4 linked regions of the Tamandua tetradactyla genome follow. The protein of the gene in region 1 binds, or shares a complex with, the protein of each later gene. Links are inferred from orthologs where the notes say so. Each region holds a gene or a part of one and is shown in the gene's direction. Other genes may lie near its edges.

Evidence for each region.
Region 2: the proteins of KCNAB2 (region 1) and KCNA1 are in contact, whole or in part, in a crystal structure (PDB 1EXB), measured with the Rattus norvegicus proteins. The link is inferred for Tamandua tetradactyla from reciprocal best matches to the Homo sapiens genes KCNAB2 and KCNA1. Residues at the interface, in NP_059000.1 of Rattus norvegicus: Met196, Tyr199, Ser200, Arg203, Glu231, Lys235, Ile236; in NP_775118.1 of Rattus norvegicus: Glu37, Met70, Phe73, Asp74, Pro75, Leu76, Asn78, Tyr80.
Region 3: the proteins of KCNAB2 (region 1) and KCNA3 are in contact, whole or in part, in a cryo-EM structure (PDB 7EJ2), measured with the Homo sapiens proteins. The link is inferred for Tamandua tetradactyla from reciprocal best matches to the Homo sapiens genes KCNAB2 and KCNA3. Residues at the interface, in NP_001186789.1 of Homo sapiens: Met196, Tyr199, Ser200, Arg203, Glu231, His234, Lys235, Ile236; in NP_002223.3 of Homo sapiens: Pro133, Met137, Phe140, Pro142, Leu143, Asn145, Tyr147.
Region 4: the proteins of KCNAB2 (region 1) and KCNA2 are in contact, whole or in part, in a crystal structure (PDB 5WIE), measured with the Rattus norvegicus proteins. The link is inferred for Tamandua tetradactyla from reciprocal best matches to the Homo sapiens genes KCNAB2 and KCNA2. Residues at the interface, in NP_059000.1 of Rattus norvegicus: Met193, Met196, Tyr199, Ser200, Arg203, Glu231, His234, Lys235, Ile236; in NP_037102.1 of Rattus norvegicus: Asp28, Glu33, Pro62, Met66, Phe69, Asp70, Pro71, Leu72, Arg73, Asn74, Tyr76.

What each region holds. Positions count from the first base shown.
Region 1 is NC_135328.1:219,376,603-219,383,637, reverse strand, and holds the start of KCNAB2 (voltage-gated potassium channel subunit beta-2), read left to right. Parts: upstream 1-3,961; 5' UTR 3,962-7,035.
Region 2 is NC_135333.1:67,200,686-67,208,714, forward strand, and holds the start of KCNA1 (potassium voltage-gated channel subfamily A member 1), read left to right. Parts: upstream 1-4,929; 5' UTR 4,930-5,494; intron 5,495-5,856; 5' UTR 5,857-6,360; coding exon 6,361-7,848; 3' UTR 7,849-8,029. UniProt on the Homo sapiens protein: Voltage-gated potassium channel that mediates transmembrane potassium transport in excitable membranes, primarily in the brain and the central nervous system, but also in the kidney.
Region 3 is NC_135337.1:11,903,309-11,910,410, forward strand, and holds the start of KCNA3 (potassium voltage-gated channel subfamily A member 3), read left to right. Parts: upstream 1-3,982; coding exon 3,983-5,704; 3' UTR 5,705-7,102.
Region 4 is NC_135337.1:11,968,145-11,976,221, forward strand, and holds the start of KCNA2 (potassium voltage-gated channel subfamily A member 2), read left to right. Parts: upstream 1-5,024; 5' UTR 5,025-5,088; intron 5,089-5,602; exon of another isoform or gene 5,603-5,710; intron 5,711-7,193; 5' UTR 7,194-7,532; intron 7,533-7,973; 5' UTR 7,974-8,077. UniProt on the Homo sapiens protein: Voltage-gated potassium channel that mediates transmembrane potassium transport in excitable membranes, primarily in the brain and the central nervous system, but also in the cardiovascular system.

The sequences.
Region 1 (7,035 bases):
TCCTTTCCTGGGATGAAGTGTTTATCTTAAGGTATGGCATTCGTCCTGAGACCTGACCAGTGAATGCAAGCTAGCACCCGAAGGCACCCGCAGACAGCATTCCCTGTTCCCCAGCAGGAGTGGAGAGAGGGTGACAGGCAGGCAGAAAAACCCCAGGTGCAGAGAACTCGCAGGAGGGTGGAGCCAGGCATCGGGTAAAGCGCGTTGAAGGGAAAGCAGTCCCACTCGCTTGGTACCACTCCCAGCCCGCAGGACCCTCACACCCAGCCCATCGCCCTCCCCTCCGGGAGCCTCCTGGAAGTACCCTCTCAACCCAGAGTGCAAAGCATTCTCTGCACAGGGGCGAGCTCTGTTAGAGAGCCAAGTCCCACATCTCCTGTGCTGCCCCTGGGCTCGTGTCCAAGCGGTTGGTTGGGGCCAGCCATTCCCCCGGCCCCCCCAGCTTTCCAGGCAGCGGCTCTCCCAGGTGCATCCTCCGCAGGCAGCCGCAGCACACAGGAGAGGTGGAAGCAGGCAGCGCCTCTCGAGGCCCACACTGAGAGCTGGTACACTGCCACTCTCTTACCTTCTCTGAGCCAAAGCAAGTGACCATGGCCATGCAGGAAAATAGACTCGTCCCGTCAGCGGGAGGAGCTGGGGTCAGGAGGTGAGGCTCACAGATGCAGAGAGGGGACCAGGACCAGGACCAGGAGAGATAACACAACCTGCCCTGAAACCCAGAGAGCTCTCATGGTATCTAGAATGCAAAACAGGGTGGGAGAAGTCCAAAGAGCTGCCTGGGTTCAGATGAGGAGTGGTCTTAGTCCACTGAGGAGGCAGGGAGGGCTTCATGGAGAAGGTGGCATGGTCCTGAGCTGGACCTTGAAGGCTGGGCAGGATTCAGCCCAGAGACTGGGAAGAACATTCCAGTAGGTGCAACAGCCTAAGGCACAAAACGGAGGTGTGGACAGAGAACGGGATGTGGTTGTGGACTGGGCTGTCGGGGACATGAGGGAGCATAATGAGAGATCAGGTCATGTTGGTGAGGGCCTTGCATACCAAGCAAAGGACCTTGGACTTCATATAGTGGACACTGGGGAGCCATCGATGGTGTTTGAGCAGGACAGTGACCAGACCTCTGCCATAAACAGGGAGTAAGATGGGTTGGGGGAAAGAATGATGGATGTAAGGAGGCCAGAAAACAGCCAAGAGTAGAGGAGGAGGCCCAAACTAGCAGGAGATTTGGGAACAAAGCGGTACAAGTAGATGAGAAAAAGACATCAGAAGCTGAGTCCATAGGGCTTGGCAACGGATGCGCGGAGGCGGAGGGGCTCAGACATGCGGAGGCTGAGAAGGAGGCCCCACTAGCAGAGGAGCAGCTGGCCCGGGGGAGGGAGGCGGGCTGCGTTCAGAGCACGTTGGCTGATGACCACCCACCCTTGCCCACACCCCACCCACAGAAGCTGACAAGTGGCAGATACCGGGGAGCTGACGTTCGCGGCCCTTACAGATGATGGCCTGTGTCTAGTCACCTCCGGGCCCTGGGCCTCCCGCAGCCTCCCCCTTTAGTTAACGTCCTACTCCAGGGCTGGAGTAACAATTTTCCACCCCCACCCCCCAAGGTGTCCCCTGCTGAGGTCTGTGGGTTTGCCACAGTACAGACAGCTCAGCCTTCCTCCAAATCCCACGTGCACTGGTGCACTTTTTCCACCAGAAGTCGATGCTATGCTGAGCCTCTCTTGGCACCCCAAGACGGAAGCCATGGGGGGCAGTCACCAATGTGGGGACAGTGGCTCACCTGCTACAGACATAGCTAGGAATTGGGGGGTGGTGCGGGAAGCTGCAAGCTCTCTGTCCCCCCACACACACCTGGCCCTCCTGAGTGGAACTTGGGGCAGGTAGCACCGACTACCCCTTCCTCTTGCTGCTCTGGGGGTCTGCTGGCTCGCTGGAGTAGGGTTGGGGGGAGACAATGGGACCATTCGTGCCTGCAGGAAGGGAAAGTCCCCAGCCGCGGCCCCCCACCCCCACCCTGCAGCCAGACTGCGACCCTGCATCCCAGAGCTGGCCCGCAGAACTGCACTTCGCAGGCTTTTAGGGAAAGAGGCACTCCTGAATAATTCAGCCTCTTTCAGCGAGATGCAAACGCCCTAATAGAGCTAATGGACTCACCGACTCAAAACTCAGCCCTTGTGGGACCCGTCTCATTCACCAGTTGTTTCTGACGTCCTGCAGTGACACTCCCCTAATGAAAGCTCCGCTGCGCCAGATCCTTAGAGCATCTGGCGAGCCTGAACTAGCCTCTGTCCTTTTAATGTGCAGAAGCCCAAGGCAGCAGGTGAGTCTCTCCTTCCGCCCCTGGGGTGGGAACGCTGCTTGGGTGCTGTCATCCCTGGGAGCTGCAGTAGCAGAGGAGATGGTGTTTGGGGATGCTTTTGGCTGTTCGGGAATTAGACCCTCTACATTTTCATAGCAGAAAACCTCAAAAAAAAAAAAAACCAAGCAGCTGTAGGTACGTTGGAGGTGAGTGCTGGAGGAAAGGGGCGGGCTGCTGGCCTGGCAGCACTGGCCGCTGCTGATCTCCTGCTTGGGCGTGCTTGCCTCCCGAACTGCCAAGGGCTGGTGGCTGGCTTCATGTCTGTTTTCCCGTCTGTTGGAGCCACACAGGTATCTGGCTCATCTCTTGTCGGGTTCACAATTGATTGAGATTCTGCATTTCTGAGTTTTCCTGAGAACGCTGTCAGGGAGGCTTGCCTGCTGTCTGAGAAGTCTAGGAAACCACATGCCTGGGAGGCGGGGGTGCTGCTCGATCGGGCCTGGGTTTGCTGAGCCATCTTGGGCGAAAAACGATTTTGGTCGTGCATTAACGCGCTGCCGTGCATTGTAGAGCTGCATTCCGGAATGACACAGCTTCCCCTTGTGTTTCTGCTCTCAAGGACTTTTGCTCCTTTCTCTAAATTCAAAGCAGATGTCGTCGTTTGAATTCCTCCTCGGTCTTGTGCTTTATTGACGGCCAGGTGACTTGCAGTGAATGGACCACAATTAAGGAATTCCAGGCACCGCGCTCTTAAGGGTGGTAGCTGCTCCTACCGATTTAATGAGGCTAATGTCTTGGTTTCATTTTCTCACGTCATGGTGCTAATTTTTGTGAATTCCCCGGAGCCCCCTAATCTACAGGAATAGATTTGCAAAAGGCAGGCCCCTTGCAGGAAAGAACGTGTAGGTACCACATAATTAGCAACAGCTGTTGGGGTAGGGGTTGAAGTTTCTGGAGGCCAGGGGCAGGATGGCGGGAAGTGCCCGGAAACTGGGAATCAGGGGCTGGTGCTCCTGCACTTTGGAGCTCTGGAGCTGCCAGGGGCCCGAGGCAGGTGCCCTGCAAGGGCCCCCCTCCCAGAACAGAGCCCCAGCGGGAGGAAGGATCTCCGAGTCCAGGGAAGCTGGGCTCTGCCTTCTCCCACCCAAATAGTCCAGGGTAGCCCCCGTGACCCTCTGAGTGCCCTCTGCCATCCGCGCACGCCCCTCCGCCCTCTCCCTTGACCCCCACCCCCGATTCTTATGCAGATGCGTGTTTTGTGGGCCTTGACCTTCAGAGCCACTCCAGGTGCCAGGCCTCTGCTCTGCTGCTCGCTTCACTCTCCCTCCCTGGTGGGGGGCCGCGCTCACCCCACACCCCATTTCTTCTCAGCCGAGGCCTGCTCCCAGGCACCTGGGGTCCATCCCAGGCAGGATCTCGGAGGCCACCATGTCGCAGGTGGCCCAGCCCACAGACCTGCTCCCAGGGCCACGAATGCGCCTGAAGGAGCCCTCAGGCAGGGGGCCTGCAGCCCCTCAGTCTCAGCCACATGGGGGCCATTCCTTCCTGCTCCCGCCCTTGTCCCCCCCAGCCCCCATCTCCAACCCTCACCCACGGCCCATCTCAGTATTCTTGCGAGGCAGGAGCCGTCAGGAATATCTGTATCTCCTCATACTAAGCATTTTCTAGCGAGGTTTGCCTTCTGCCTGGCTCGCCCGTCATTCAAGCCCCAGCTCACGCAGCACCCCCAGGGGGCCACCTGCCAGCCCCCAGACAGCCTCCCCACCCCTCGTGGCACCAGCCTTGGGGGGAGTTTCGGGGTCCCGGCTGCACAGCCACCACGTGCCCAGCCTCAGGGCATCCTCACGGCAGCCTTTAGCAACGGGCCTCTGCTCAGCCCACTTCACAGATGTGAACACTGAGGTCTGCAGTGGCCCGGGTGCTTGCTAGAGCTACACTGAGAGCTGGAGACAGGGCTGCCAGTCCAGAACCCGGGTGCTGAGCCACACCCACCCACCCACCACCTGGGCCCGGGATGTGTTTCCAGAGCCAGCCAGACCTGGGGGGTTCCTTGTGGTCAATACCTTGAGAGCTAATGGCTATTGATCTCGGCCCGGCTATGCCTGGCTGAGGAAGCGCATGTCTGGGCTGGTCCCGGCTCTCCGGGAAGAGCCCCGCAGCTGGCATCGTCTCTAAGCATAGACACCTGGGGAAGTGAGGATTTGCCTCCAGATCGTCCAGCCCTGGCCCGGGGTGGCAGGTGCACGGCTCCCCTCTTCCCCTGGAAGGGGCCCTTAGCATCTCCTTGCTCACTAGTTTCTTACCCCAAGCCCACCTTCCCCGCCTCAGTTGGGTGCTCTTCAACAAGTATTTCTGGGCCCCTGCTGTGAGCCAGGCCCCAGGCCCGGCAGGGTCAAGGGGGACAGGAAGGACGTCTCCACTCTGCAGGCCCAGGAGGCAAGAGACAAACAGACAGACTGGTCTGGAAACCCCTGAAGCCCCGAGGCTCCTTGGGACAGTCCCTCCCCTCAGACCAGAGTGCAAAAAGGTCAGCTCGGCCCACCCCACCTCAGCCTCCAGACTCCCTGGACTCAGCCCAGACTCCCAGCCTGGGGGCCCTGCTCTGGCCTGTGAAGGAGGCCCAGCAGAGCTGAGCCTGTAGAGCTCACCTGAAGAGGGGCCAGCCTAGGGCACCTCCAGGGCAGTGCCACCCTCAGCCCTGAGACAGCCCCCCAGACAGCCCTCGCAGCCCCCTCCCTGGCTGCTAGGGCTTGTCGCTGCATGTGCCGAAGTGTGGGGCAGTGCTGCTCCCTTTCCAGCCCAGGCCTCCGGGACCCCTCTGCGGCCAACCCAGCTGCAGCAGCAGCTCCACGTCTGAGCTCCCCCCCTGCTTCGTGGGCTTTGTGGAACTGTTGGGTCGAGGCTGGGGGTGCAGTGCAGTGCTGGTGGGGTCCCTGGATTGGCAGCCTGCTCTGCCCCCACAACCAGGTCTTTGTTGGCTGGCCAAATACACTCCAAGGCTTGGATGTCCATGGCCACGGTGCAGCATTCATTTACACACTCATCTGCAGGGGCCCAGGTGAGCATCTGCACACATCTGTGAGCGCACAAATGAGTATTGACACACTCAGCTGTAATTGCCCTCGTGAACATTTACACACTCATCTCTACATGCTCATCTGTACATACCTGGGTGGACATTCACACACTCATCTGTAAGTGCCCAGGTGAGCATTTGCACACTCATCAGCAAGTGCCTGGATGAACTTTACAGAGTCATCTCTCGGTGCCTGAATGAGCATTTACACACTCATCTCTGTGTACCTGAGTGAACATTTGCACTCTCATCTATACATACCTGAATGAGTATTTATACACTCATCTCCAGATACCCAAATAAGCATTTACATGCTCATCTGTAAGTACCTGAATGAATATCTACACACTCATCTCTAAGTGTCCACTTGAGCCTTACACACTCTCCTGTAAGTGCCAAAATGAGCACAAATGGTAACTTTTTCCCTGTGCCTTTGCGATGTTTTGTTTTTTTTAATATTTTTATTATAAACAACAAACATACAAACATTCTTGACATGGTTCAAATCAGTGGCTCACAATATGATCACATAGTTGTGTACTCACACCAAGATCATTTTTTTTAACATTTGCATCTCTCCAGCAAAAGAAATAAAAAAGGAAAAACTCATACCTGCTATACCCTTATTCCTCCCTCTCATTGACCACTAGTATTTCAATCTACTCAATTTATTTTAACTTTTCCCCCTATTATTTGTGTATTTCTTATCCATATTTTTTACTCCTCTGTCCATACCATAGGTAAGAGGAGCATCAGACACAAGGTTTTCACAGTCACACAGTCATACTGCAAAATCTGTATCATTATACAATCATCCTCAAGAAACATGGCTACTGGAACACAGCTCTACAGTTTCAGGCACTTCCCTCCAGCCTCTCTAATACACCTTAACTAAAAAGGGGATATCTACATAATGCATAAGAACCTCCAGGATAACCTCTCGATTCTTTTTGAAATTTCTCAGCCACTGACACTTTATTTTGTCTCATTTCTCTCTGTGCCTTTGTTTTAACCCACCCCCTCTTTTGGGGTTCCCTGCCAATCAGCCCACCCCGAGAGGCCTGACGACTGGGCACATTTCCGTTGTGTGGATGGTCAATGGACATTTATCTGGGTTTTAGTTTCCAAGGGTAGTTATTTAGGATGACCATCTATTTGGTGTGGTTCTTACCACTTAAGCTTTGAAAGTTCCCATCCCAGCTTAACTCCTTCCCAGGCAGCCCCGGCACTCCTGTTCATTCTGCTCAGTCTTTCTTTGCAGAAGCTTAAGGATTGTGACATATTTGGTTATCTTAGAGCATGGAGTCCAGTGGGCTCTGCCACGGCAATGATGCTTTACCTGGGCAGAGACTGCGTGGACGGTGCTGTCCTTCACGAGGCTTACGAAGCCAGGGAGCTTTCCTCAGGTGGTGGCCACCTAGCATGGGGGCTGCAGTCCCCTGGCCTGGCCATACTAGAGTATGTTCAGGCAGCAGGCAAGGTCCCTGCCGCCATGCCGAGTCCCCCAGTCACCTGTGCTGCTTCCCCTGGGACAGCCCTCGACCTGGTTTCACCCTGAGGGTCCCTCCAGGAGGATGCTGTGAGGCCATGCCTCACTCCCCTTGGGCCTCTGCATTTGGGGACTCAGGCTCTCTGCACGCTCTCCGGGCTTCTCTTTTAACTT
Region 2 (8,029 bases), on another chromosome or scaffold:
GGGTTCACATCTATAGGCTGTTTGAGCTGTAGGACTGGGAGTTAGGACCTGAAAATATCTTTGTGAGGGACGTAATTCAATTCATAACAATTCAGAACAATTTCTTTAAGAAAAGATCACAGGTTAAGCTCTTGGAAAGATACCAAAATGTCTAAACTTCTTCTTTCAGTTCAGTGTATGGCATTTGCTCTTTGACCATGAGTATTTTTAAAAAATGCAGTATGATTTATATACAATAAAATGTACCCGTTCTGAATGTGCAATAATATGAGTTTTGATTAATTTATACACACCTGCAACAACTACCCAATCAAGGTGGAGCATTTCCATCCTCCCCACACATGCCTGTGTGCCCCCTTGCAGTCCACATTCTCATCCCCGACACCAGGAAACTGCTGATTTATGTTTGCTTATTTTAAATTACATGTAAATGTAATTAGATAGTATGTTCTCTTTGTGAAGTGTTTATTCAGACCTTTTCTCTGTTTTTACTGTGCTGTTTTTCTTCTTCTTCTTGAGTTGTTAGAGTTTTTTAACATGTCTGAGCCTAAGTCCTTTGTCAGATATATGTATTGTGAGTATCTTCTCCCAATCCATAGCTTGCACTGCCTTTGCATTTTCTTAACAGCGTCCTTTGAGGAGCAACTAAAGGGACAATGCAGTTAAAGATGATGCATAATCCTGGGTGGGACGTAATAGGGAAGGAGAGAAGGCTTTTGAAAAGGACACTATTGAGATATATGAAAAAAGTAGATTATAGATTGAAAGCTTTATATCAATGTTGATAACTGCGCCTAAGGTGGATGCATGAGTGAATCTCCTTGTTCTTAGGAAAATGACACGGTAGCATTCTGTGTTAAGGAGTACTATTGTATACAACCCACATTCAAATGTTCAGAAAGTGGATTTATGTTAACAGACAGACAGCTGGAGAGATAGGATTGCTAAAATGATGAATAGCTAGAATAAGACAAATGTAACAAAATGTTAGAATTGTTGGATCTGGGTATCGGGGGTGCACATAGGAGTATGTGGAAGTTGTCTGTATGGAAGGTATATTATTTTTTAGCTGTCCTGTAAGCTTGAAACTATTTAAAAATGAAAAATTAAACAACAACAAAATCAACACTACTTTCTTCTGGCTTCACAGAACCCATCTCCTCCTGGTTTGCTTAGCCCTTTGGTTACCCTTTCTTGGTCTCGTTTGCTGGCTCTTCCTTCTTTTATTGGCCTCCTAACTTTACTGGAGTATCCCAAGGCACAATCTGAGCATTCCTCTTCTCTGTCTACCCTCCTGTCCAAGTGCTCCCCTCCAGGACTCTGGCTTAACCACCATCTACCTCAGTGGTTCTCAGCTGGGGTGATTTTGACTCCCAGAGGACATTTGGCAATATCTAGAACCAGTTTTGGTTGTCACAACTGAGGGAGGTGCTAGAGGTATCTAGTAGGTAGAGGCCAAGGGTGCTGTAAAGATCCTAAAATGCCCAGGAGAGCTCCCACAAAAAGAATTATGCAATCCAACAGTGCTGAAGCTGAAAACCCTAATCAACTCAGACCTCTTCTCTGAACTTTAGACTCATCATCTACTCAACGTTTTCATTTGGATATTTAACAGATATATCCAAGTTAACATGTCACAACCAGAAGTTTTGATTCTTTTTGCCTCAGCTCAGGTTCACTAGGAAAGAGACCCTGAGATAGGATCTATGTGCTAATGCTTTAATGGAAGGTACAATCCAAGGCAGCCAGAGTGAAGATAAAGGGGAGGATGGGCATGACTGCAAGGTGGTGAGTTCCCAAATTGGCCACTGCTTCATGAGCCACAGAGACACACAGCCCCAATCATAGAATATGTGTGTGCTGGTTCCTGAGAGGGACAAAGGGAAATAGGATGTATCTTCTGGCTCTGTCCTATTTCCTGAGCGCCTCAGCTCCTAAGGTGGTTGAATTTCATCTCACAAAGAGCTAATGCCTCTGTACTTCCCTGTTGCTCATCTGCCCTTTCTACAACCTTGAGGAAGACAGATTCTACTAATTTGCTGCCCACTTGACCTCAGCCCACGCAGAGTTGGTTGTCTCAGGAGCAGCCGAGGCAAGAACAGGTGACATGATGAAGGTGAGGGACTCTGAGAAGATGTTTAAACTGTCCAATACATCAATAACTAAGACACACAAGGTCCCATATCTCATGGGGCATGCATTCTATCGAGCCCATGCTTCCGTGACTATACGATTCACTTAGTTACTCAGACTGGAATGCTGGGAGACATTCTTGAAACTTCTTTCCCTTACACCCAAAGTCCTTCCATCTTAACTTTCAAAATGTAGTCCTATTCCAACCACTTCTCACAGCCTCCCCACTGTCTCCCTAGCTTACGCTTTCATTGCCTATACTACTTAAGAGACTCCAACTTGGTGCCTTGCTCCTGGCAAGCCAAAATCACCTTCCAAAAATGCAGATCATATTATATTATTACATTGATCCCAGTTCTCCAATGTCTTTTCCTTACAGTCAGAATAAAAAAGCAACATTCTGACCATGGCCTAAGAAGCCTTTGGGATATGGTTCCTGCCTACCTTTCTGAGCTCCCCCTTTACAACACTCTCCTTTGGTCCTGCCTTCCTAGCCATTTTGACTCCCTTCAGTTTCCTGAATCTGCTGAGCTTGTCTTCGTCTTAGTAGCTTAGTAGCATCTGCTCTTACCTCTATCCTGATCTTCCCATTCCTTGCTCTCCCTGCTCAAATGTGGAGGTTCTCCGCTCACCTTACTGTTGCAGAGAAGCCTCTCCTATCCAGGCACATCCGTACTTGTCACTGTCCATCCCCTTTTCTGAATTTCTTTTACCTAATGCTATAATACTCGGTTTATTCGTTTATTGTCTGCCTCTCCCACCAGCAAGTGAGCTCCAAGAGGTTTAGGACACTGTGTGTTTTGTTATGACTGTATTTCCAGTGCTAGAACAATGGCTGGGGCAAGGCTTGGGCTGAGCACATATTTGTTGGATGCATAAATATCTTCTGTCCCTCGCCAAGGGTGGACTTGCATCAAGAGTACTGGATTCCTAGCTCAACAACTTTCTTCTAATTCTTGGAGTTCCGACCCTACTCTAAACACATAGGCCAGGAATGTGAACACCACTGATCTATTCAACCTCCTAATAAAACGCTGAGTTTAGGAACCTGGGACCCCATCTAGTCTGTGAATCTCTTCTAGTAAGGTGATCTTTAAATGCTGAATCAGGGCAAGTGCAATTGCACGGAGGTGGGGAAGATGGCAATCTAACCAGAGTTTAAAGGCAAGGAAAGAGGCTGCAGGCAGAGCAGGGTAGAAAGAGGAAAACAGGGAAGGCGGGTGTTGTTGGGACACAGAAAATGTTTCTCATGGCTACCAGGGATATCTCCAATAGGATTCTAACTGCAGCAGCAGCAGCAGCAGCAGCAGCAAACAGCACACGGGATTTGATGGTATTTCGACATGGAATTTCATGCTTTATTTCTCTATTTTTGGCAATAAAGCAGCAGTGCAGAAAGTTAAGGAAGCGTGGAGTTACTGGGATAGACGGATATGTGTGTGGAAGGTGAGAAAAAAGCAGCATCAAATAAGGAAAGAAGTATGAGAGCGCTCACTGTTCATAACAGAAAAGCTGCGGTATGGAAACGGAGGACGGCAGGGAACAAATACTTTAATTTTTCTGAAAGGAATGCTGGGGTATGCATCTGGAGGGGGTACTTAACTAGTTCTGTGCCCGGGGTTGTTGCACTGCCTGGGCTGCCCGCAGAGGCCCCTGCTTTCCACTAGCCACAATACAGCGGAGTGGATGCAATCGTTGGCTTTGATTAAAGAGGTGGGTGGTGTAGGCGCCAGGCAAGAACTCTGGTTGTGCGAAGGGGCGGTCCCGGTTCATCCGGAGGAACCAATCACTGGCGACTCCGGGTTCTTAACAGCATGCGTAGAGATTCCGCCGCAGCTGAAGTACCGGAGCTGCTGGCTGCCTTCTTTCGCGCTGCAGGCGCGGAGGCGCAATGCCTGTGGGGGCGCGGGATGAGCCGCACTCCGGGAGCACCGCGCACGCCTCCGGCTCGTGCTGCCTGAGCCTCGGTGGGAACCTTACCCCGAAGAAGCAACTGCAAGCCTTGCTTGTGGCCCTGGGGAGACTTTAGACCCAGGAAAGAGGCTGGGGGAGGAGATCCGTCGGGTGGGAGGTGGGCTGGCGGCATGCTTCTCAGTATTCGTCCCAATTAGCACCAAGTTGGCAGACAACCCCACAAACCCACAGAGCTTTCGGTCTCCCACAAGTCATGTTTTCTGCGTTTCAAAATAATCTGATGGTAAGAAAACTTTAACTCCCGTCGCGGGTCACAGAGGGGCATACCGTGAGCACCCCCGCCTCCCGGGAACACTAAACTGAATAAACGCAGGTGATTCAACTGCAGTGCTCTGTCAAACTCTGCATCCCTTCCAGTCCCGCGGGGAGACGCTGACTCTGCCCTGCCGAGAGCCCTCTGCGGGAGGGGCGGGATGACGCTCTGAGCGTTGCGATCGAAGCGGATTATTGTGGGACTGCACAAATGTAAACCCATCCGAGGAGTTTTGCCAGAGACACCACCGCCTGCATTGCGTCGGACCTGACCATTTCCAGTGTGAAATCCCCCGGCCGGGGGACCGGGTGTGTGCGGGGCCTGTGAACCTCCAGAAAAGCAGAGCTGGTGGTCGGCTTTTCTGATAGGAGAAGGAAAAAGCTGTGCTGGCAAGGGTGGGAACTGAATGACAACCCCCCTCTGCCAAACCACCCCCTCATATTTTCCATCTACCTCCTCGCTCCTGCCCTCCCCCGCCCTCCCCAACCCACGCCCTGGTGGGCCAATCGCTGCTCCGCATGCGAGGCGCTTTCTCAGGTTTCTGCTGATCTTGCAGCGCCCAGAAATGGACCGAGCGGACCCGCCGCGGCACGCACCGGGCTCCACTCTGAGCTCCTGAAGCCCCGGGACGCGCCGCGTAGCCGCCGCGAGGTTGAAGCTGGGGTGCGGGGAGTGCAAGGAACCCGAGAATCATGTAGATCCATGCTCTCGCCCGCTCGCCCGCCGCCTGCCTCCTTCGGGATCGAATCTAGGGCTCCCACAGCGTTAGGAGGGGGCGAGAGCACTGTTTATCGTCATTTGCTTCAGAGCTTCGCGAGAGGGTGGCAGTTTGCTTTTCCGCCCGCATCCTCCGGGACTCCCTGCACCGGAGAGAGAACGGCGTCTCCAGATTGTTGACAACCGGAGAGAATGGGGGGACATTTCCGCCGCGGCAGCTCAGTAAAGCGATTGTCCTACTGAGGGGAGCCAAGGAAGAGGGGACGAGGGCAGCGAGCGTGCCCCGGCTCCTCTCCGATGCTGCTGCGGCGGCGGTAGCCGCTACTCGCTCCCGGGTACTGCAAAGGCGACCTGCCGCATTCCCACTCGGGCTCTCCGCCGACTCAGCACCGCCCCTGCGCCAAGCCGGCCCGCCAGGTAGGGGGTTCCCAGTTTGGGGCTGCAACAGCGGGGGGTGCCGGGGTGGGGGACGCCCGGGTGTGGGGATGTGGCTGGGATCCGGAGCTCCCTCGCTGTCTCTCGGCGCGTTTCCGATCTCTAGTTGAACGAAGTTGTCAACGGATCGGCTGCGGGGTGTTGGGGAAAGTGGGATAAAAGAGCCCCAAACTTGGATTTCTGGGTGTCTGCGTGTGTGTCCGTTTGTGTGCATGCGACAACCCTAGCAAAGGTCCAGTGCTGTCTAAAATAGCTAGAGGTCTGTGCTCTTCGGTGTCTGTAGATCCGTCCCATCTGAATGCTTCTGATTTTCTACCCCCGTATCACTTTCTATTTCTCTGCAGCGTCCATCGATCGCCCTGGTGGGAGCTTAGAAGGCGGCAGGCGAAGAGGGGTAGGAGGGGGGAGAGCCGAGGAGAAGCAGAGGGGGTGGCAGGCGTGGGGATCTGCTGAGCTGGCACTGCACCCGGTCCTAGGAGGGCTCCCGGAGGGGCGGGGAGGCCAGGGTGACCCTCGAAACGATGGCCCGACCCGCTAGAATAGCGCTGCGTTAAGGCGCCTCGGAGAAGGAAGAAGTAGAAAAAAAACAACCCCGGGCAAAAATCTGCATCGGGGGCCCCAGGCGAGGGGGATTCCAAATTGAGTGGAAAGCGTGGTGGAGGGCCAGCGGCAGCGAAGACCCAGATCTCTTAACCTCCTAGCCTTGAAGGCCTCCTCCCCGCCCCCGAGCGTGGGGGAGACGCGCACTCCGGTGGGGGGGCCGCTTGGGTCCCCCCCACCCTTCCTCTCTGGCCCTTTCCCACCCCGGGCTCTCTCCTGGCCTCTCACCCCTCCACCCGGCTTCAGACATGACGGTGGTGTCTGGAGAGAACGTGGACGAGGCTTCGGCCGCCCCGGGCCACCCCCAAGACGGCAACTACCCCCGGCCGGCAGACCACGATGACCACGAATGTTGCGAACGCGTGGTGATCAACATCTCCGGGCTCCGCTTCGAAACGCAGCTCAAGACCCTGGCTCAGTTCCCCAACACGCTCCTGGGGAATCCCAAGAAACGCATGCGCTACTTCGACCCCCTGAGGAACGAGTACTTCTTCGACCGCAACCGGCCCAGCTTCGACGCCATCCTCTACTACTACCAGTCCGGGGGCCGCCTGCGGAGGCCGGTCAACGTGCCGCTGGACATGTTCTCCGAGGAGATCAAATTTTACGAGCTAGGTGAGGAGGCCATGGAGAAGTTCCGGGAGGACGAGGGCTTCATTAAAGAGGAGGAGCGCCCCCTGCCGGAGAAGGAGTACCAGCGCCAGGTGTGGCTGCTCTTCGAGTACCCGGAGAGCTCCGGGCCGGCCCGGGTCATCGCCATTGTCTCGGTCATGGTCATCCTCATCTCCATCGTCATTTTTTGCCTGGAGACTCTCCCCGAGCTGAAGGATGACAAGGACTTCACGGGAACGATCCACCGCCTCGACAACACCACAGTCGTTTACACCTCCAACATCTTCACGGACCCCTTCTTCATAGTGGAGACCCTGTGTATCATCTGGTTCTCCTTCGAGCTGGTGGTGCGCTTCTTCGCCTGCCCCAGCAAGACGGACTTCTTCAAGAACATCATGAACTTCATCGACATTGTGGCCATTATCCCCTACTTCATCACCCTGGGCACAGAGATAGCCGAGCAGGAGGGAAACCAGAAAGGCGAGCAGGCCACTTCCCTGGCCATCCTCAGGGTCATCCGGTTGGTAAGAGTTTTTAGAATCTTCAAACTCTCCCGCCACTCTAAGGGCCTCCAGATCCTGGGCCAGACCCTCAAGGCTAGTATGAGAGAGCTAGGGCTGCTCATCTTTTTCCTCTTCATCGGGGTCATACTGTTTTCTAGCGCAGTGTACTTTGCCGAAGCGGAAGAAGCTGAGTCTCACTTCTCCAGCATCCCCGATGCTTTCTGGTGGGCGGTGGTGTCCATGACCACTGTAGGATACGGTGACATGTACCCTGTGACAATTGGAGGCAAGATCGTGGGCTCCTTGTGTGCCATCGCTGGTGTGCTGACAATTGCCCTGCCCGTACCTGTCATTGTGTCCAATTTCAACTATTTCTACCACCGAGAAACTGAGGGGGAAGAGCAGGCTCAGCTGCTCCACGTTAGCTCCCCTAATTTAGCCTCTGACAGCGACCTCAGTCGCCGCAGTTCCTCTACTATCAGCAAGTCTGAGTACATGGAGATCGAAGAGGATATGAATAATAGCATAACCCATTATAGACAGGCCAATATCAGAACTGGCAATTGCACCACGGCTAATCAAAACTGCGTTAATAAGAGCAAGCTACTAACCGATGTTTAAAACACAAGCGAGCAAACAAAAAAGCCCCACTTAGCAGCTTGAAGGACTTAAAAACAAAACGAAAACCCGAGAGACCCACGTCACATTTTGTAGATACTGTACTAAATAGTCTTTGAATGCTCTGTTTAACTGTCAATGCATTGTTGCATTGCAAATTTTTGGCGTGGTGAACCGGAAGCTT
Region 3 (7,102 bases), on another chromosome or scaffold:
GAGAGAAGGAAAGGGAAAGAGAAAGGGAGAAAGTGGCAATTTAAAAAGCAATCCTTCATTATTGTAAACCTTAACAAAAAGCAAACCTTAACAAAAAACACAGCCCAGCTGGTTTTATGAAAGGGAACCAGAACTGGACAGATACCTCTCCAACATGACCCCTATACACCAGCAAAACTCCTTCACTCACTGTTCCTTCATGTGGCTTGTGTTTTCACTGCTATGTGCCTTTTCTTTCTTCCATTCAATAAATATTAACTAAGCATCTACTATGTGCCAGGCACTGTGCTAGATGCTGGGAATACAGAAGTGAACACAAAATCCTGCTTTGATACAGTCACGCTTTTTTTTCTTTCCTATTGTAAGTGACAGTAAAGAAACACGTAACCAAATAAATATATCATGTAATTACATGTAAACATATGCAATGAAGAAAGACAAAGTAGGCAAGAGGCCAGGAATTTACCAAAAGAGAAAAGCAGCTATTTGAAATCGAGTGGTTGTGGTCAGGGAAATATCTCTAATGAGTGACAGTTTGAACAGAGACCTAAAGTGATGGAAAGAGCCATGTAAAATCTAGAGGAAGAGTGTCTTAGGCAGAGAGAAGAGCAAGTACAAAGACCTTGCAGAGGGAAACAGCTTGGTATTATTGAGAAACTGCTAGGCAGCCAGCTTGGCTAGAACAGTCCAAAAAGTAATACATTGTCTTGTGACACTCTGGTCTTGCATTGTTAACTAATAATGTTGTAAAAATTTTCATGAATTTATGGATTTATATCCTGCTTCCACAATTCTACCCAAGCCTACTGAAAGCAAGGTCCATGTTCAAATTTCATACCCCCACAGTACTGAGAACAATAAAGATGTTCTTTTTCCATTTATCTATAACTGTGGATTAGTGGTGATCCGTAAGCCTGCCTCATACTACTCTCAAACACTTCTGACTAATTCCAGATGCTGTTTACCATCTGGCAAGCAACTGGTGAGCTATTTCTAGTACTGTTCTGGTCAGTAAGAAACCCAAGCTAGGTCTAAAGCAACACAAAAGCCCAAACACCAAGGGTCATTTTTATTGTATGCAAACCTGATGGTTTTACTTGGGCCTTAATAGCAAAGACTGAAATATGAGAAATCCTGCACATGCTCGGTGATGCTGCTGGCTTTGCCATAGTTATACGCTTAAACATTATAATAATGGTATTATTACCCCACAGGGGTGTCATGAAGATTAATGAGACATTTCCCAATCACTTTGAGCTACTCACTTGGGGGTGCTAAATAAATGGTATGTGTTCCTCCTGAAGTGCCATTTTTGACACTCATTTGTTGTGATGGGCTCTGCTGTCCAACAGGGCTGGAATGTGCACACCAACTTATTTCCTGTAGACAATATACTGGCTGTCAGAAGGCAATGATTTTCATTTAAAATAAATATGAATTGAAGTGAAATAGTCGGTAATCAGAAGCAAAAGGGCTGCTGTTAGAAACCTAGTATTTATTAAGCACTCACAGTGATCAACATAAGAGTTTCACAGTATGATACAGTAGAACAAACGTTGGATTTGAAAATGGTCCAAAAGTTTAGACCCGGCTTTGCCAGTGCCTAGCTGTGTGAACTTGAACAAGTTGTTAAACCTCTCTGGGCCTCACAAATAAAGACTATGAAAGAAACTCATAATCCAAGTCTTCCAGACAAGGCAAATACACGAAAGGAAAAGAAGTAATCCATTTCTGAAGGAGAGACACTTCACAGCAGGGAGCAGCTGGTGACAGAACATCCATCACAGAACCATCCTCTGCTCTGGTGTTCCTAGCCATTGATTAATATTAATTTCATTACTAATTCCTGCAAAAAAAGAAGAATAAATCACTTCTAAGTCAGCAAAGAAGTGTGTTAAGCATTTGGTCTTCAAAAAATAGGGTCTTGTCTTTCTATGAACTATCCTCGCAGCAAACAGTCTATCTCGTTCTTAGATTTAAATATATGAATGCTTATACTGCTACCCTAATTGCCAACTCAATATATATATAAAATAGTGGTGTGCTCTGGAGTTTTGTGGGAGAGTATTTTACACGGCTGCCCACTTTTACCATCTTATTATATATGCAAACTCCTTGCAGTGCCCAGCAGTGATCTGGAGGGGAAGAGGAAGACGAACGAACAATAAAGAACATTATTTATTTCTGGGTGCTTATACCCAGAAGAGCCAGAGATGGAAATGGAATAACTGAGCAGTGTACTGTATTATGAGCTCAGTTTCCTCCCACTCCCCACCCCAGGAATCCCAGCAGGATTCTGGGGTTGGAAAAAGAAATGTAGAGTCTGGAGCAGACAGAAATGCAAAGAACCATTTGTTGGGGAATTCATTTCATCAAACACATGGAGTTCCTACTCACCAGTACTTCACATAGTTGCTAGGAATATAAATTGGGTAAGACCTAGTCTTTGCCCTAAAAGACCTCATAGTTAGGAGTGGGGTAGAAAAGAATGACTACGAATCCCTCCTAATGCATATAAAATTGCCAGCTAATATCAGATGGGTGAAGGAGTTGTCTACACAACATTTCCTCTTTTGTAAATGATTTGAATGACCCGATAGAAGACACATTTTTAAGCCTATTGTCAACTCTAAATTGGAGTTGCTAAAATGTCTAGAAACAGAAATCGTGCCGAGAGTAGTCACAACAATTTGGAGTCATAGTTTAAGTTCAAAGAGAATACATATACGTTATTATCTCTGGGCTAAAATTAAGCAACAGAGGCTGGCTGAAGTTGGAGAGCGGGCTTTCTCCCAGTTTAACAACTAGAGTGCGGCAGATTCCCTACCACAAGGGCAGTGGTAGAGCATTAAGTAGAGTCTAAGAGGTAGAGGTCCGGCTCCCCTCCCTCCCACGGCAGACTTCAGCCTTAGTTACAGTAAGAAAACCACACAGATGAGACGTGGTGAATTCCCTTTCCCATTTTCCTCTAATTTCCCCACCGACAGGATATCCCACTGTTTAAAAAGAGGAGGGTGCTCAAGCCCAACTAAAGACTTATCCCTGATTCTTCGCAATGGCTGAGATCTCAGCGACGAAGTTAGCGTGAACTATTCACTGCAGAGGCGAGGTCCCTGGACCCCTTTAATGACCCATTTTCTTCACAGTCCGGGTGCGAACCCCATCATTACCCATTCCTCTCTCCAGCTACTCGTCCAAGCAAGAGCTAAATAATTTAGAGCCCTTCCCGCCTGACAGTTCTACCCTCCAGTGAGCTCAAAATGCTGGCCCCAGGCTTGCCTCTCCGGGCGCCCACCTGGGCTGCCGCTCTCCCTCTCCACGGCGCCGCGCCCGGAGCACACAGACGTCGGCCCTCCTCGCCTCCCGCGCCCTGGGCTCCGCGGCCCCCGCCCCTTCCGAGAAGGCCCAGGTGGCGTGTGGAGGGCGAGAAGGCCGGGCGCTCCCGGGGCCGCGGCGAGAAGCCCCCGGCCGAGGCGTGGGACCCGCGCGCGCCGAGAAGCCCGGCGACCCGGACGCGGCCACGCGAGCGGGGAGGGCGGGTCGAGCCGAGGGCCCGGGACCCAGTGACCAAATTCCCCACGGGCCGCGCTGGCTGGCAGCGAGGGCTGCGGGGGTTTACCCAGGTGCAGAACGAGGGCGCGTCTGGAATACTGAGAAGCCAGGCCAGCGGCTCCCGGGGGAGCGGGGCGCGCACCCGCCCGGTGGGCGGGAATCCTGAGGGGACGCGGAGGGGCCGGCGGGCGCGCGCGGGCGGAGGGGAGAGAGGGCGGAGGGGGAGAGGGCGGGGGGGAGAGGGCGGAGGGGGAGGAGGCGTCTGATTTGAGGAGCCCCGCGGACGCGCCAGACCCAGACAGCCTCGCAGCGGCGGCGCTAACTGGCAACAGGCGGCGGGCTCGGTTCGGGGGCGGGGGCGAAGGGGGCGGGGAGCGCGAGGAGGAGCGACGCGGCCCCGCCGGAGGCGCCGCCGCCGCTTCCGCGCCGCATGGACGAGCACCTCAGCCTCCTGCGCTCCCCGCCGCCCTCTGCCCGCCACCGCGCCCACCCACCTCAGCGTCCGGCGGGCGGCGGCGGCGGCGCCCACACCCTGGTGAACCCCGGCTACGCCGAGCCCGCCGCCGGCCGCGAGCTGCCGCCCGACATGACCGTGGTGCCCGGGGACCACCTGCTGGAGCCCGAGGCGGCTGACGGCGGCGGGGGCCCGCCTCAGGGCGGCGGCGGCGGCTGCGACCGCTACGAGCCGCTGCCGCCCGCGCTGCCGGCCGCCGGCGAGCAGGACTGCTGCGGGGAGCGCGTGGTGATCAACATCTCGGGGCTGCGCTTCGAGACGCAGCTCAAGACCCTCTGCCAGTTCCCGGAGACGCTGCTCGGCGACCCCAAGCGGCGCATGAGGTACTTCGACCCGCTCCGCAACGAGTACTTCTTCGACCGCAACCGGCCCAGCTTCGACGCCATCCTCTACTACTATCAGTCCGGGGGCCGCATCCGCCGGCCGGTCAACGTGCCCATCGACATCTTCTCCGAGGAGATCCGCTTCTACCAGCTGGGCGAGGAGGCCATGGAGAAGTTCCGCGAGGACGAGGGCTTCCTGCGGGAGGAGGAGCGGCCCCTGCCCCGCCGCGACTTTCAGCGCCAGGTGTGGCTGCTGTTCGAGTACCCGGAGAGCTCCGGGCCGGCCCGGGGCATCGCCATCGTGTCCGTGCTCGTCATCCTCATCTCCATTGTCATCTTCTGCCTGGAGACGCTGCCGGAGTTCCGTGACGAGAAGGACTACCCCGCCTCGTCGTCGCAGGACCTTTTCGAGTCGGCCAGCAACAGCACGTCGGGGGCCGCCGCGGGAGCCTCCAGCTTCTCGGATCCCTTCTTCGTGGTGGAGACCCTGTGCATCATCTGGTTCTCCTTTGAACTGCTGGTGCGGTTCTTCGCTTGCCCCAGCAAAGCCACCTTTTCTCGCAATATCATGAACCTGATAGACATCGTGGCCATCATCCCTTATTTCATCACTCTGGGCACCGAGCTGGCTGAGCGACAAGGCAATGGACAGCAGGCCATGTCCCTGGCCATCCTGAGGGTCATCCGCCTGGTGAGGGTCTTCCGCATCTTCAAGCTCTCTCGCCATTCCAAGGGGCTGCAGATCCTGGGGCAGACGCTGAAGGCTTCCATGAGGGAGTTAGGGTTGCTTATCTTTTTCCTCTTCATTGGGGTCATCCTCTTCTCCAGCGCGGTCTACTTTGCCGAGGCAGACGACCCCACTTCGGGTTTCAGCAGTATTCCTGATGCCTTCTGGTGGGCAGTGGTAACCATGACAACAGTAGGTTACGGTGATATGCACCCAGTGACCATAGGGGGCAAGATTGTGGGCTCGCTCTGTGCAATCGCTGGTGTCTTAACCATCGCCTTGCCAGTTCCTGTGATTGTTTCCAACTTCAATTACTTCTACCACCGGGAGACAGAAGGCGAAGAGCAAGCCCAATACATGCACGTGGGAAGTTGCCAGCACCTCTCCCCTTCAGCCGAGGAGCTCCGAAAAGCCAGGAGTAACTCGACTCTGAGTAAGTCGGAGTATATGGTGATCGAAGAGGGGGGTATGAACCATAGCTCCTTCCTCCAGACCCCTTTCAAAACGGGCAACTCCACGGCCACTTGCGCCGCAAACAATAATCCCAACTCCTGTGTCAACATCAAAAAGATATTCACCGATGTTTAATATGTGCCACGAGTGACATACTGTGCTCAGCATTGTGTGGAACGTGCCCCCTTGGTCTGTGTATGCCCTTGTTTTATACATTTTCAGACCATTCATCAAAGAAAGAACATGAAGAGGTGGAAAGCACACTTCATTTGCCCTCTCCTTACTGCTTCATACTGAAACAGGTGTCTGGTTTGCAAGTGGGCTGCGTTCTCTCAGCTCTCCTCTTTCTTCTCTCTCTCTCACTATTGAGACTACAGACTTACTTTAAACTTGGTTTCTAGTACACACCCTGTTTAAAAAAAAATGAAGTACATCCTGGGGGGAAATGAAACTAAAGGGCAGTTAGATAACTTTAACCTCAAAATTAAAAGGCAATTTTTTTACTAAGTAAAGGAGACAAATACTAAATGATACATCAGTCTACATTAGTATTTACTTTTGAGTTCAGTTACCTACCCTGTGTAGATGTAATTGAACAGACTTGAAAACCCACCATAAGTTTATTTGGGTTTTGACTGGAATTTCTATTTGAAACCCCCACCCCTGGAATTTTAAGTGTCTCTACAACTTTGAGCAAAAGAAAATCCCCAAGATGTCCTGATCTGACTGATTAGTTACCCCTGGAATGTTAACTGTCTGTACAACTTTGAACAAAGGGAAATGCCCCAGATGTCCTGATCTGACTAATTAGTTTAACTCTTTGGGGCTGGAGAAGCATTTTGAAACCAAGACTAACAGTTAATTCCCCGTGAAGAAGTTCCGTGCATGTGTCCCAGCTAGCATCTATCAGAATCTAGAAACAGATGTCTTCTGTACTGCTGAGAGAGACAAAATATTTCCTAATGCATCTGAGAGAGAAGATCTTGCAGAATCACAAAAAGATTAAAGTGGCAGACACCGCTTCCAGCGGAAGTTTCTAATTCAGACCTGACTGATGCAGTTCCCATAGCAACTCATGTTTCCTGGGAAACCCGAAAAAGGTTGTCATGGCATCTCTTGCTTTGTAGCCCCCCCATCCTATCCCAGTCCCTGCCGTTTCCACAGTAACCTTTCCAGATGGTTCTACTTACATGATTTCACAAGGAAAACCACTGTTTGAATAAACCGCACAAAGTTAAGCCTGAGAATCTAAGAAGGTAAACTGACTCGCAAAGTTCTTTTTTTTTTAAATGACTGAATCAAAAAGGAAAAGAACATCTTGAGAATGTTAGCTATAAACCACAATAAGGCATGATTTCAATTAAATGCCAATTATTAGGCAATAATTTAAGAAGAAGCGTCTCTTCTTTTTTTTTCTCCAAGAAGTTTCAAGTCAACAGATGAAATTAAAAAGCAAATCTAGAAGTGTTCTGTATATAAGCAAATGACAGATTTAATCAGCGCACCTGAAACTTTACTACATGGGACCCTCAG
Region 4 (8,077 bases), on another chromosome or scaffold:
GAGATTAAAGCACAAGGGTATAGGTGGACAAGATAATCTCTATGGACTACACCAGCCTGGAAGCTTCCACTTACACTACCTCTGGCCTGACCCAGACAGGAGCTAGAGGGTGGGAGGTGCACACAAGCCGCTATAGCCTGCAGGGGACTGGATAGATGATGGGTCTTGGGAGAGCACAAGTCCAGCCCACAGCATCCCTGAATATTCGGTGCTATGAGAGTATGCAGTGGGATGGTTAAGAGCAGGCCTTCTGGAGCCACAGTGCCTGAGTTTAAGTTCTGTCTCTTTCCTGGGCTAGCTGTGTGACGTTGAGCAAAGTATTCAGCCTCTCTGTGAAACAGAGGGGCTACAGTCCCACCTTGAGGAATAACCTCCCAGCTGGGCTATCCTCTGATACATCCCTGGTGGTGCTGATGCAACGCCAGCCTTCCTTCTTGGCCCCTTCCAGCCTGTTTGGCGAGAGTCAGGAGCAGCCCCCGCCTGGCCCTGTGGTGATGCAGGGGTTTTCAGTAGCAGGGGCCTTTCAGAAAAGTCGAGGGTAGGGACCTGAAAGGCAGGAGGGAGGGAGGCAGTTAAGCCTGTGGGAACATCACAGAGACCATACAGCTGCCTGGTGTTTGGAGGGTCCATAAACACAGAGCAGGTGTTCTGGGCCGGGCCTGCACCAGACACTGAAATACAAATGCGGAACTGACAAGCCCCTGCCCTGAAGGTGGAGACAGAGTCGGGCCTCATCAGACTTACCGTGGTGATGGACCTGTGTCCTGGGTACCGTGCAACATTGCGTCGGTGGGGGGAGATCCAGGCTCAGGGAGAATGGGACACGAATTGCATGTCAGAAGAGGAGTTGTTGCAGGGCTAAGAGGGCAGAGAGGCAGGAAGGTAGCAGGGGATTCTGGCTGAGAGGACTGCTGGAGCCAAAGCAGGAAGACCTGGAACCTTCTGGAAGCTCACGTTTCTTGAGCCCTTCCTGCAGGTCAGGCACTGAGAGAAACACCTGGTATACTTTATCTCCTTTACTCTGCAGAGCAAGCATTTAGGTACATGACTCCCGTTTTACAGATGTGGAACCTGAGAGTCAGACAGGAAAAGCACCCCAGCTGAGGTCCCTCGAGAGGCAGGCAGCAGGGCCGGGACTCCACCCCAGGTCAGTCTGAATTCAGGTCTAGACTTAATCCACCTACTTCAAGCCAGTTTAGAACCTTGGAGGCCGTTCCATGTGATGCCATATAGACTTCTAGGACTGGGGACAGAGGGAAGTCAAATCTTGAAGGGCTTTTCTTGCCTTTTAGGAAACATGGTGGCATCATAGCAGTGGGGAGCCACTGAAGAGTTTAAGGGGTAAGTGACATTATCTGATTTGTAGTTTAGAAAGTCACGGTAGAAATTGTGGGAGAAGAGACCAGAGGGAGCTCGTCTGGAGGCAGGGGGACCAGTAAGGGTGAAATGGCCCAGGCAAGCGTGATGACGGCTTGAACCAGGGTGGCACTAGTGTGTATGTGGCGGGGGGGACAGGGATCACAGGGACACAAATAGATGTGAAGGCCGAGTGATTGACTAGATGTGACGTTTGGGGGAGGTGAGAGAGAACTGAGAGGGACTCCTGGTTTGGGCAAGCCATGACGGGCAACGTCTTTCACTTTAAGAGGTACGTGAGAGAGAAGCAGGCCTGGGAGGTGAAACTGATGAGTCTGAGGCACAGGAGAGAGGCCTGGGCTGGACCCAGGGAGCCAGGCCGGTGAAGCCAGCTCAGCTACTTGGAGCACAGGTCCAAGAAACTGGGTGGAGCCCCCTTTGTCCTGCCCTAGAACATGGGGCTCATCGCCTTGAGTGGGTTACCATGGTTGGCATCTGGGATTCCATATCAGTGAGCTCCATCCGGGGACTGGCTGTAGAACATGAGTTGTCTCTCACATAGACGGAAGGCTGGATCATTTAGATTTGCCTCCCCCAGCATCCAGGTCACCGTGGGCAGCCTGAGTGGGCCAGGATGGCTTCAGAAAGAGTCCTGATTCACACAGTGATGGAGGCGGAACACTGCCAGCGCCCTTGAGAACCATCTTCCACGGGACAGCTGAAATGACAGGTGCTCCAAGGCCCACGGCCCAGGACACACAAAAGTATCTGCTCTCATCACAGATGATTCGCACTTCCATTGCTAATAGAGAAGGCAGCCGTGGTAGCAAGGATGGCCGATGATGATGATAGCTGATCCTTATTGAGTGCATACTGTGGGCTTGGAAGTGTTCTAAGTGTTTTCCATGCCAACCACACAATAAAAACTTATATTTGAAGAAAGTATCTCACAGCCCCAAAAAAATGTAGCGGAGCTGGGATTAGGCCCTAGGCGTCCTGGCGCCAGGGGCTGTCTGTCCTTCAGCCACTATGCTATACTGCCTTTGGGTGTTAATGGCAATGGGCCTGATTTCAAGGCAACCAATACACGACTGACACAGAGTAGCAACTCCAAAATCTCAGGGAGGGTCCGTTTTCCTTTCTTTAGCTACTCAAGCCAATAGCATATAGTGGGCTGGCGTAAACAATGGGGATTTATGAGCTCAAGTGTTTGAGGCTAAGAGAAACTGAATCAAGACTTCATCAAGGCAATGTTTTCTTCCCAGACCTACACTGTGGGGCTGACAGCCAGTGGTCCTAGGTCCTGGCTCCTCTGTCCCATGGTGAGACACATTGAGGTGTCTCCTGGCCTCTCAGTTCTCTTTCAGTTTCTATTGAATTTCAGCTTCTTGCTTACTATTGCTTTCTCTCTTTCGATCTGAATTTCATTCTGCTCATAAAGGATGGCAGTGAAAGGATTCAGACCCATTCTTCTTGGGTTGGACCACAGTTTAGCTGAAGTAACCTCCTCGAAAGGTCCTACTTGCAATGTGTTCACAGCCCCAATTTTGGAGTAAGAGTAAAAACATGTTTTTGTGGGAAATATACAGCTCCCATCCACCACCGGGCCTATCCCCTTTACCCATTCCTTAAAATGTTCTTTTCATTTGGCCACTATATAGAGTAGAGTGGGAGAGTATAGCAGTCAATTTAAAAACAGCACTTCAGGATGGGAGCCAAAGCCCAGGTCTCCATATATCCCCTTGGAGATAGCTAGAATTAATCTTGGAAGCCTCCCTGTGAGAAACAGACCTTGACTTCTGACTCAAAGTATAAGCCCTTACAGAAGGAGGGAGATGGAGCCACTCATTTCACTTCCAGGAGAAGTTCTCTCATGTTGCTATAGCGGGCATGATGCGCATTACTTGACACTGTAACCACAGAAATGATCCTTTCACACACTGGCCAAGCTTTTGGCTTTTCCAAGCATATTCACAGGCATTATCCTCTTTGATCCTAACAATGAGACTTTAATACACAAAAACCTTGACTGTTAGTTTCCTTCCTTTTTCCTTTCTCCCTCCCTCTCTCTCTTTAAACACTATGAAGCAAGGGAGGTTGGGGTAAGTGCTCTCCTTCCTATTTTACAAGAAAACCGTTGCACAGCAAGTTCAAGTGAGTGACCTAGGGTCACACAGCTCCATGTCCACGGCTGCATGATAAGACTAAAGCCAGACTACACCCCTAGTCAGATGCTCTGACTTTTACTCTACTTTACCACCACTTAGTCGTCAGGTGACCCCGGACAGGTCACATCCCCTCTCTCTGCCTCAGTGTCCCTCCTGTGAAATAGTGCTAATGTAGAAACTGCCTCCTAGAGCTGTGAGGATAAAATGTCACGTGGGGGCAGAGCTGCTCTGCACAGCGTCTGACCCTGGCGAGCCCTTGTCACCAATTAGCATGACTGTTCATTCTCCCTCAAGAGCTTTTGTCTGTCCACATCTTTGGTTTTAACAAAAGAGGGAAAAATAAGATATAGGGACATGAATGGAGGAACCATAACTGCCATGAGGACCCAGTGTGGTAAGTAGCATCACAGTGAGGAGCAGGGTTCTGGAGGACACCGTGGGGAGAGGGATGGGAATGGCTCAGACCTCAGGAAGGATGAGGGGTAGGGCCAGCTACCCTCACTGGGAAGCAGAGAGAATGGAGTTACAGAGACCCAGCAGCTGGGCACGTAGAGGAATAGCAGAAAGCTAAGCTGGAGACTCAAGTCATGAGGGGAATTTCCTAGGGAAGCATAGTAGAGAAACCATCCTTTATTATTGAGTGTCTGTTGGGTGCTAAACATTTTACATACCATAACCCCGGGAGGTATTCTCATTTTGCAGATGGAGATTCTGAGGCCTAGAGAATTGAATTGACTTGCCTAGTAATTGGCAAAGATTTAAGTCAGGGTCTGGCTGACTCCCAAACATCCCCAGGGCCTAGTTTGGCTGGGCCAATTAATGGCCCCGCTTCAAGGGGCTCTAAACCAACCCTGTCATCCCCCATAGCAGCATGAGCTCACTGCTCTCCCAGACTGCCCTTACTTCTTAAGTCACGTCTTATAAGACTACCCTCTTCGAAATGCTGGAATCCATCAGAGGCCAGTGAGTCAAGGGCTGGGCCTTGTCCTGAGCTCCTATGGGGCCTCAGTGCTTCCGTCACTAGGTAGAAGCATAGATATGAGGGTTCCCTGAGCAGAGAGCACCCAGTAGGAGACTTCCCCTACCACAGCCCCCTCAGAATCCAGAGCATGTGCCTCCAGCAGAGTCTGAGCCAAAGAAACCAGTTTGGATCCCATGGCCTGGGGCCATCATGTGCACCCCGGGAGCACCCCTGGATCTTAGCAGAGGGCAGGCTGGGCTACCCACACACATTTTTCCAAGAGCAAAGGGTATCCTTCTCTGCCCACCCCAGGGTGGTGTGAGCTCCCCTCTTGATTTCAGAGCCCGGTAGGCCAGCTGGTTTTGTAAAGTCTGAGAGGGGGCGCATCCTGGGAGTAGCTGGTCCTCACAAAGGGCAGCCACATGTACTCCTACTTTCTGGCCCTGATCCTGGGGTTAGGGAAGCCAGCCCAGAAGGCCGGCTCTGCAGTGCTGTTTGTTCCAACAGCGACTCCTCCCGGTGGGGGGCGAATGTGGCAGCGAGTTTCTGCCACACTGCGGCTGCACCTGCTGCATTCCCCTTCGAAGCCAAGGCTTCGGCTGGGTAAGGGGTAGGTGGGGAGGCAGAGCTGGAGGAGGGGGCGCGCCGGCGAGAGAGGCCAGGGGAGGATCTGCAGATCCTGCCTGGCAGTCTCGTAATAATAGCAACACATCTCCCGCGGGGCTGGATCCCTCCTCGGGCCTGGGATAGCTGCTATTGATTGTTTCCTCCTTGCCTACTTCTTTATGTTAGCAGGAGCCTCAGGGGCGCTTCTCAACTTCTGCCCCTTCCATCTCTCCGGCCGCCCGTTCCCCGGCCACGGCAGCACCCAACTGAGCTCTCCAAGAGGTTCTGGTTAGTAACCTGGGCTCTGCCAAAGAATGGGGTGCTTTCTTCGTGACGTGGGAGCCGAGGCTCGGGGGCACCAACTGGGTGGCCAGCTTTGGCACCCGCCGGCCCCTTTAATTCCAGTTCACTGGCGGGCCAGGTGCGGCGCTGCGTGGCGCGGTGCAGCGCGGTGCAGCTGCGGGCGGCGGCCGGGCGCTCTGTACGCGCCGCCCGCGGGACTGCAGAGCCGGCTCCCGGCTGGCCGCCGGCACCCCCACCGCGGTCGCCCGCAGCCGCAGTTCAGCCGGTGCTTGCCATAAACCACGAACATGGAGGCTCCGAGTGCCTATCCGGAAGGGTAAATCGGTGTCGGCGTTTCGCTGCGCGTGCTGCCTCCCCCTGCCCGGGCTGCGGCGCCAAGAGGGGCTGCGGGGCGCTGGGAGGCGCAGCCTGCAGGGTGGAGGGTTCGGGCTAAGGCCCGGGAGGGCGAGCCGGTACCGACCACCGCTCTCTGATCGGCGGGTTCCGGGGCCGGGGCTGGAGAGGGGGGCTTGCGCCCTGCGGAAGAAGAATGCACGAAAGGGGCTCGGGGACCCTCTGGGGTGTGCGTGACACGGGACGGAGGGCACGTAGAGGCGCTGGCCGGTGAGGGGAGTGCAGCTGACAGCATAACCATGTCTGGTAAATAGGGCCGGTTGGTAAGATCTCAATCACTTGGGACGGCCGGGCTGCTTTCGCCTGTCGGGCACTGAATAAAAACGACTTTGCTGCCCAGAAAGGCTGGTTCCTTTCCCTAGGGCCGTGAGCTGCCGGCGGAGCCCCCGCGCTTAGGGGGAAGCTGAGATCTGGGGCAAACCGCGCAGGGCAACCCACCTCCCACACCCAGAGTTCAGGCTCCGGTGTTTCCGGGTGGAGATGGACCCGCGGTGGTCCCTCGGGGGCGTTCCGGCCCGCAGCAGGAACTGGCGGGGCCGGGCAGGAGAGGGTTAAGGGGGTGCCTGTCGCCGCGGCAAGCAGGATGGTCCAGGCTGAGCGGAGCGGGGAATGCGCCGGGAGGAATCCCGGCCCGAGCCCGGGGCGATGGGGAGAGGGCTCAGACCCCTCCCTGATTTGGGACCGGCGGGATTGGGCGGGCAGTAGGCCAGCCCGGAAGCAGGCTTGCTTCAGGTTCTCCCTCTCGCGGCTGCCGAGGTACCGCTCCGCAGTCAGGCAGACTGAGCGTTTGTTCTGCGCTCCCTGCCGAGGACTTGCGAGGGATTTTCTCTTGGGGGAAAAATCAGTAGTTGAGTGTCTGCCCGGCTCAAATGCCACCCCGGCTGGAAGGAGGCCTGCGGCCCAGGGGTCCCCGGCAGAGAGTAAGTCCAGGGACCCGGCTAGCTTTCCGACAGAGGCAGCCTTGGGGGGTGTGGAGTCTTCCTAGTTGAACTCTGAAGGCGATGGGGGAATTGCTGCTTCTCCCAGGGTCTGGTGGAGGTCAAAGCTGTAATCTGGCTGCAGTGAGCACAGCCCTCCCCTTGGGAGATGCTGTGTCCTGGCAGGAGGAGGAGGAATAACGCTTTGCCCAGAGTCCCTCCTGATGGCATCTGAGGACTTGGGGATCTGGCTCAGCCCCAGAGAGGCCCCTGGAGGAGACAGGCCCAGCCAAGCCTGCAGGATTTTTCCTGGGGAGAATAGTTTCAAGTTGATGGGAAGCTTGAGGGGTAGTTCTCAGGAGTGGTACTCCAATGGCAGGTGAGCATGGGGGACTGTCCCCTTCAGTAAGGGCAGCTGCCAGAGCCCTCTTAAATCTTGGCACCAGCTCCCCAGAAACCCTGGTCCCACCTTACTGCTGTTTCTTCCAGGCAACGTCACACCTCCTGAGGACAGCCCGGAGGACTCCAGCTTTTGCTGAGCTTTGTATCTTGCCTCCTTCCTTCCAAAGGCTCCAGACCCAAGCTCTTCTGTCCCCAAGTCCCGCAGGCCCCTGGCCAGGCTCCCCACCACCCCTCCAACCCAGCCAAACCCTGGAGCTCACCTCCAGGACCTGGAGCCTGCCCTCCTGCCCAGGATGACTCACCATTATTTCTAGCTCGGGCGAGAAGACGTGATGGGGAGTTGGGTTGCCTGTTTGTATATTTAGGATTCCTGCAGCCTCTGATCAACTCTTGCAGAAAGAGAGCTTCAGATTCCTGCCTTGTCAGGTAAATCAATCTGCTGTTTAAAAACAGCAATGTGTAGAGTCGTTGGGGTGGGGGTAATGAGGGAGACCCAGGGTCAAGATCCCCAGCCGTGAAGGCCTCCCAGGGTGCAGGTATTTGTAAGACATTACTTCAGTGCCTGGGGTAGGGCTCCCTCTAGTCTTCTAGGATGGGCTTAGGCTTCTGTGAAGCCTGGACAGTGAAGAAGGGTCCTGTACCAGCCACCTTTTCTCAGTGCAGGGCATTCCACTGCTTCCTTGAGACACTGCTATCTGCTCCCCTCTGATTCTCCCCCTCCCCCCCGAAAAAAGTAAATTTTGCCTTTTTATGATGGTGGTAGTCATGTTTCTGAACTCTTGGCTTAGAGAGCGGAAACAAAAAGCAACCCAGGTTGGGCTGCCAGCGCTGAGTGGTCTCATGCCCTTAATTGTCTCTGTCTTTCAGCCAAGCAAGGCTGTCTCTCCAGCTCTCAGAGAGCCACTGGGCTCTCCAGAGGAGCCCAGGCCAATGCTTCTGCATTTCCTGGAGCCTTCAACAGCACCCTGAGC